2 linked regions of the Nothobranchius furzeri genome follow. Each later gene encodes a partner of the first gene's protein in a complex. Links are inferred from orthologs where the notes say so. Each region holds a gene or a part of one and is shown in the gene's direction. Other genes may lie near its edges. The genes, in order: bmp2b and rgmb.

Region 1 (4,299 bases):
TGTCAACAGGTGCGCCATATTGGACGGATGACGTCAGCTGGGAAGAGCTGCAGGTTTAACAGGTTAAAAGCAGTTTAGGGTTTACATTTTTCAAATGAATTGATTTTTTTTCTTATCCGTGGCAACAAACCTCAAGTTTGATCATTTAGAAACTTGATAGTTAATTAACACAACTGTCCTTTAAAAGTGATAAAAAATGATATTTTGTTCATATAACAGGAAATTAAGAGGTTGAAAGGAATTGGTTTCGTCATATTTATTACAAATTAACCCTTTGATGCATGAATTATGAAATCTTCAACCATGATTTTTTAAACTTTTTTTTCATTCATCTGTAGGTGTGAATGAAACAAATTTCAGCAAATATTATTTGTAGTATTTTGTTAATTTACAAATAATTTATTACATGTCCATCTCAGGGGACAGCGTGCATTCTGAACACGAAATATGTTGGCTTGACTTACTGAAGTCCAAATGAAGGAGCTCAATTGCAATAAAGTCTTCAACAGCTGTAAAATAAACAAATAACAATTTTGAATACCTGTCCACTGTATAGTGACCATTATGCATCAAAGGGTTAATGTAAAATTATATGATGAAGCCTGTTTATTCTTTCTATTTGGTTGATTTAAGTAATTCCTTAATAACGTGTTGTGTTTGCTAAAAGGAAAAAACTGTTAATAACTGCAAATGTCCCACATAGTTCATTTTTCTCACTACATTTTGCATTTTGATCATTGGCAACCTTTTGAATCTCAAATGCACTGAATCTATTTTGGCAAAACAAACAAACAAAAGTACTTGTTTGTCAAAAGAAGCAAACAAAAAGTACTTTTTTTTCTTCAAATATGCTGAGTACACATTCTGAGGGGAAATACTTGGTTAAAAATTGTAGTAATAAACTCAGCTCATAAACTCCTGCCAGCTCTTCCACCTGTTCTTGGTGGTCCTGTTACAGATTTTAATCCAAATCACATTTGTAGATGTTTGCTGAAGGGGAGAGGAATAAAGTTTAAACAGTTTTCCATTGTGAAGTTAGAAATGAGGGATTTTTCTCCTGCGGGAGTTACGCACAGGAAGTGGTGCGGTTTGGACAGATGACTGACAGCCCAGTGACATCACTGTAGGACAAAAAGCGTCGCAGGGGAAAGAGAAGGCACCAATCAATAGACCCGCTCCGGAGAGCTCTCCCTCTCCGAGCACCAACTTCACTGCGCTCATCTCTCCACGAACATCGCGCGACGCTCCACGTTTCTCCACTTTCAGCTTTTCTTTTTTCTAATTTTAAAAATGTCCAGACAAGCTTCCTCGCACTTAGTTCGGCTATGCCTGCGCGCAGCCGCTTCCTCGTAGACTTAATTTTTCTACTTTTTTTCTTTCCTCTCCGGACTGAGCAAGACCCGAACCCGACGCGCAGCTGGTGAGAATATGTGCGAGAAGCGATCGGCGGAGGGCGCGGGCTGTTTTCGGTCCCCCAAGCAGAAGCAGCGTGGATTAAACACGAATTAATGTGGAATTTATCGGAGCTTAAAGGTGGAACGACGACCGGACACCGCGCGTTCTCGTCAGGTAAATCGCTAGAATAAAGAATAACCATCGATGTGGAGGTTTTAACCTGAATCCGCACTTGGACTGAACACAGAAAGGTCACTTCACAAGTGACAGCTCATTTGTTTCTAATAATAAATTCGTGCGTAAAGCCTCCGCCTGTTGAGCCACGGAGAAACAGAAAATGAAAATAGAGGTAAAAGTTGTCTGTGTGGAAGTTGTTTGACTCCGTCTGTGTTTCTGATGCCTGGCTGTGGGGCACACGTCAGATCTAACACCTGCAAGCCTCTTGAAGTAACTATCCTTTATGATTACATGCAAACAGCGCGCAGTGGGACTGGAACTGATGCGTGTTCTTCCTTTGATCCTTCTCTCTGCATGGACTTTCATATCTGCAACAAGATCTCTTATCTCTTCTCGCTGGAGACCTTTTGTCTGCAGCGTTTCCCTTCAAATCCTTTGATTTGTCTGTTTAATCCACCTCTGTCATTAGTTTTTCACCTTGATATTTCATGTTAGGGTTCATGTTCAACCCAAACTAGAGGAGCAGTTTAGCCTCTGGGTTTTTCTTTCTTTCTTTCTTTCTTTCTTTCTTTCTTTCTTTCTTTCTTTCTTTCTTTCTTTTTCTTCTGCACTTCAAAGTGAAGAGGTGTCTCCCCCTTTTTAACCTGCTCCCCTTCAGTTTTACGCTCTGAGGGGGGATTTGGGAACTGCTGCCGCGAGAGCCTAGCTGGGACCACCTCACGTCAATACCACATTGCCTGCCAGTGTATTGACAGAAACCAACTTTCTCCACAGGGACTGACTGATCATGGTCGCCGTGGTCCGCTCTCTCATGGTACTGATGCTCGCTCAGGTGCTGCTGGAAGGTGCTGCGGGACTCATCCCCGAGGTAGGCCGGAGGAAGTACAGCGAATCCGGGAAACAGACCCCTGAGCAGTCGGAGAGCTTCCTCAACGAGTTCGAGCTGCGGCTTCTCAACATGTTCGGGCTGAGACGCAGGCCGACCCCCAGCAAACAAGCCGTGGTGCCCCAGTACATGGTGGACCTTTACCGGATGCACTCTGCGAACGGAGACCACAGCACTAAGCGGCCCAAGAGCATGGGGAAGCACGCAGAGAGAGCCGCCAGCAAGGCCAACACGATTAGAAGCTTTCACCATGAAGGTATATATTAGTGACATACCTTTACATGTCTCTCTCAGACAGCGCAAACCTATATTTAAACATGACTCAGATCGTCAACACTGAACTTCAGAGTCTTCCCTGTTTTCTGAAGGTTTAGTCATTTACAGATGACATGCTCCGAAGGTATTTGCAACCTTAAAAAATGCTTTAACTTAAAGATTGATGCACAAAAATCACATCAAAGTTGACTTTTCTCACCTAAGCAGCAGTGCAACATTTAGACAAACATCCCTCCAGCACAGCTGTCACAGGCTTCAGAAACATCAGGGGCGGCGGTATCCCCGGGGTCATTAGTTTCTTAATAATTGATGGTGTTTGCGTGGGATTCTGAAAACTGTTTTTCCAGACACGCACCACGGGAGCAGCATAAAGGGCGGTGCGCCTGTGCGCAGGTGATAGACGTCACCCTGCAACTTCAAAAAACAACCGACATCAGAGCAACACACACGATGACGAAGTCACCGTGTCAGACTGAGTCACCTTTAACAAGACTCAAATTAGCTCTTGGTAACGCCGTAGAGGAGGCGTGGCTTCCCTTCTTCCTGTTGCTTCCAGTTGTGCATCATTACGCGTGAACCAGTTTGGAGAAGACAGCGATAGTTGAACTACAAGTCTCAGTTCAGTTGAATTTAAAAACCTATATTTAAACATGACTCATTCACCTCTCGGATGAAAATAAACGTTTTGCAGACTCTGGATCAGCTGTTAAAATGTGGATTTAAACAGTATTTTAACAAAGTAAATGATGCTTTGTTTATAACAGCTTTAAAAGCAGGAGCACTCGATGTTTACGTTTTTGTATAATAAACATCTTATTCCCGGTATAGTAGATTTGCACATCTATTTATCTTAATGTGACCCACGTTGCTGGGTCCATTGGGGCCCTGCGCAGAGTCCTCATACAGAGTCCTGTGTTTGAGTGGAGAAGTTTCTTTCCATCAGGGGTGAGTCAGAGGGGTGGTTGAGTGGTTGCTTGGGTGCTCTCCAAAGGCCTAGTGCAATGACACCAAGTGGCTACACTGACACACTACAAACAACCCTGAGCAGCAGGGTTGAGTGACTGCTCCCAGCTCACCGCTGGAAACCTCTGCACTCAGCCAACACACGTTGACATTTACACGTCTTCTCCTGGCTCTTTTCGTCCTATGCTAACAGCCGCGCGGTTATTAGGCTTCCCGTATCGCGTCGAGGGATTGTTCCCCCTGTAATAAGCACGGATCTACAGATGTTAATGCAGCACATCAAAGCAAACAGCTCCAAGCCTTCGTCACGTCTGCCACGCCATGCTCCTTTCGCTCGGACAATTGGTTTTCAGGAATAACTCGAGTCAAATAGAGCCTTTCCACCGTAGCACAGGACGCAGCTGCCAGAGATGGCCGATCCAATATTAGCATCTATCTTTTGTTTTGGCGAGTGGCACAAAAATAAAGCTGTGGAAATCTGTGGTTCGCGTGCTTTTGACAAGCATAAACTTGTTCACACAGCAGTTCCAGACCGAGATCGAGAACAGTTGCAGAAAGGAACTGAGAAAACGGTGACAGAGAAGACAAGAGAAGAGGATCTC
Region 2 (2,982 bases), on another chromosome or scaffold:
CTGTCTGTGTTGGATCTTCCACCGGGTGATGAGGCACCGCTGCTAAATCTAAAATGTGATTTATTTTAAAATTCTCCCAAGATTTTCAATGAAATATTTAGAAAACAAGTGTTCTAATTTTTTTCTTCCTTTTTGCAGATTACCATCATCTTCAAGCCGTATGAGGGCTGCACAGATCAGAGGGTCTACCAGGCTGTCACAGACAACCTTCCTGCTGCCTTTGATGATGGGACGGTGAGCAGTGGAGACCCCATCCACAAGTCTCTTGGAGCAGATGGTGCAGCTGGGAAGGTCCGGGCTCTGTGGATCTCTGAGCGCAGTCCTGGGCGCCATGTGGAGCTGCATGCTGGATACATCGGCGTAACTATAATTGTTCGCCAGTTGGGACGCTACCTGACGCTGGCGGTGCGGATTCCTGAGGAGCTGGCTCAGGACTACGATGACACCCAGGACCTTCAGCTGTGTCTGAACGGCTGCCCCGGCAGCGAGCGCATCGACCAGGCGGGACATCTTCCCCTCCCGCTGTCTCCTCCAGCACTCGGTCTACAGCGACAGCAGTTGCGTCAGCCCAGTTTCTCCTCACAGACACAAGCACATCCCTATGGCGCCACGCAGATTTTTGGTGTTGAAGGGGCGAAGGAGCGTTGCAGAGAGCAGCTGGAGGTGCTGGACATTTATTTCCACTCTTGTGTGTTTGATCTCCTGACCACCGGGGACGCTAACTTCACAGTGGCTGCATACAGCGCTCAGAAGGACATGGAAAGTCTCCATCCACACCAGGATCGGTGGAGGATCTACCCCCGTGGTTCTGCCACATCCATCTTCCGTTCTGATTCACAGTCTATCAAACATTTCGCTCTGCTCCTGCTGTGCGCTTTGAGCTCTGTTGTGGCGTCAGCCAGTATGTGTGCCTGAATGCATGTAGGCCCATGTTTGTGTGTGTGTGTGCGCGCGCAGTAGGAAGAGAGTTTAGGACATTGTTTTTGATTGTTTTTGCTGAGCACTGATAATGAATACTGATGCCATTCTCATGCAGAGAGGAGGCAGCAGGCGGGACACTTACTGGGAACTGGAAGTCGTTTAAAAGAGGCGATGAGCCCCCCTCCCAGTGTGCACAGGAAAACTGTCTGTCAGAACCAGAATCAGAAAATGCAGCCGACAATAAAACCAATGCTGTTATTTGGATGAATCGACTGTAAATAGATCATTTATTTCTTCCGTGCACATTGTAATGATGTTGATGTTTTTTGATTTGCCATTTGATGTGATTTTTAAAAAAAAAAAGTACCTCAGACAGAGGATTTTCTTAACAAAAGCACTTTATTTTAACATTTTATTCCACACAATGCCAGTCAGTGTTTCTTCTTCACTTTCTGTCCTCCACCAAAACTCACAACTGTTCATATTTTCTCTGTATCTCGTTGTTCCATCACACTTTTTCTTAAAGATAAAGTCATTTGAATGGTTGGAGCTGACATTTTGGTTTAAATGCACCATTCTACCAGTAGCTGACTGGACTCAGTCAATGTGAGGTTTTCTGTTGAATGTATTAGCTATGGCGTTGCAGCAAACGCCATCAGTACTTTGTTAGTAAATGGTTTCAAGTGTGTGTGTGTGTAAAAGTGTTTAGACTTGTCAGGTTCTTTATTTGAAAGCAGCTGAAGAATGTGGCTTCGTTTTACGTGAGTCACATTAGAAGTATTCCAATCGTTTTGCCAAATTTAAGTGACTACACTATCACGTTTTGTACTCGCCGTATTTTTCTGTTACAATTTGAGCCAAAGACCGATCATTTATGTTTCTCTGTACAGGAACTCTCTACCAAACCAGCATCTGTATCCTGTTTGTTTTAAATTAGCTACTTGTAATCTGTTTTCTCCCTATTCCGGATGTTTCTTATTAAGATGCATGTAAAGCAATGCAGGAATAATTCTTAAAAAAATGTCGGATGACTGGGAAAACTTCACCTTACTGTGCTGTTGTACAATTTGCAAGCGCAGCGTTGATGCCTGGTAGAAAATTCAACCCCTATAAATATGTAACATATGTAGATCAGTTTAAGTTTTTCACATTGTGATCTCTTTTCATCATGTGAGTGTCAGTTTGGTGAAGAGTGACTGGTCAGTGTTGAAATAACTAACTTATTTATAAACGTAGTGTCCCGTAGAGGAAGTTAAGCTCCATATTCTTGCTGTTGGATAATTATTTAAAAGAAATGTCAGCTGTGATTGTACTGCCACCTAGTGGTGCTCTCTTGCTTTGTCGGTGTGTTACTAAAGGCGCTCAAAATCAAACAAAAAGGAAACAAAATGTGTGCTTGTGTTTTATTTATTACAATAAAGTCAAAACGGTTCATGATGCTTAACTTTAACATTTAAGACTTGTAATGAAATAATAGACAAATCAAGAATGCCAAAAACAAACAAAAAGATTTTTAAAAAAGGTGTAAAATTGACCAGATCTCTCAGTTCTTTTTATTGTAATACAAGATCTGGATCATTTCGTACTAACAGAACTTCCACACACAAGTTTAAAGACACACACACACACACACACACACACACACACACACACACACACACACACACACACACACACACACACACACACACACACAACAGATAGAAGCATTAAAACACCTGTGTGAGGTTAGGCTTCGATCAGATACCAGGTTTGGCCTCACAAACACAATCTGTTTTCAACTGCCACAGTCAGCGACACCTGGGCCGGGAACAGACTCAAAAAGGCGCCACTGAGGATTTTTAACAGCTAAATCTTCAAGTTCATGTAACTGTACTGAAAACCCACATTCAACCCATCTTTATGAAGGCACTCATGAGGATGAGAACATCTTGTAGGGTGGAAATCCTCTCAGCTCGACTCAGAGTCACATTGTGCATCAGCAGCTCTTTATTTTCAGATGTCTGAAAAGTCAAACAGAAATCATTAGTCCATTTGAAAGAAATTATATGAAATTTAACT

Evidence for each region.
Region 2: the proteins of bmp2b (region 1) and rgmb are in contact, whole or in part, in a crystal structure (PDB 4UI2), measured with the Homo sapiens proteins. The link is inferred for Nothobranchius furzeri from reciprocal best matches to the Homo sapiens genes BMP2 and RGMB. Residues at the interface, in NP_001191.1 of Homo sapiens: Val308, Gly309, Trp310, Trp313, Met371, Tyr373, Leu374, Asp375, Glu376, Tyr385, Met388; in NP_001353437.1 of Homo sapiens: Lys97, Arg100, Gly101, Leu103, His106, Ser107, Leu110.

Annotation. Positions count from the first base shown.
Region 1 is NC_091742.1:22,693,013-22,697,311, reverse strand, and holds the start of bmp2b (bone morphogenetic protein 2b), read left to right. Parts: upstream 1-1,391; 5' UTR 1,392-1,569; intron 1,570-2,346; 5' UTR 2,347-2,359; coding exon 2,360-2,714; intron 2,715-4,299. UniProt on the Homo sapiens protein: Growth factor of the TGF-beta superfamily that plays essential roles in many developmental processes, including cardiogenesis, neurogenesis, and osteogenesis. Induces cartilage and bone formation.
Region 2 is NC_091757.1:44,843,412-44,846,393, reverse strand, and holds the end of rgmb (repulsive guidance molecule B), read left to right. Parts: intron 1-138; coding exon 139-915; 3' UTR 916-2,353; downstream 2,354-2,982. UniProt on the Homo sapiens protein: Member of the repulsive guidance molecule (RGM) family that contributes to the patterning of the developing nervous system. Acts as a bone morphogenetic protein (BMP) coreceptor that potentiates BMP signaling. Promotes neuronal adhesion.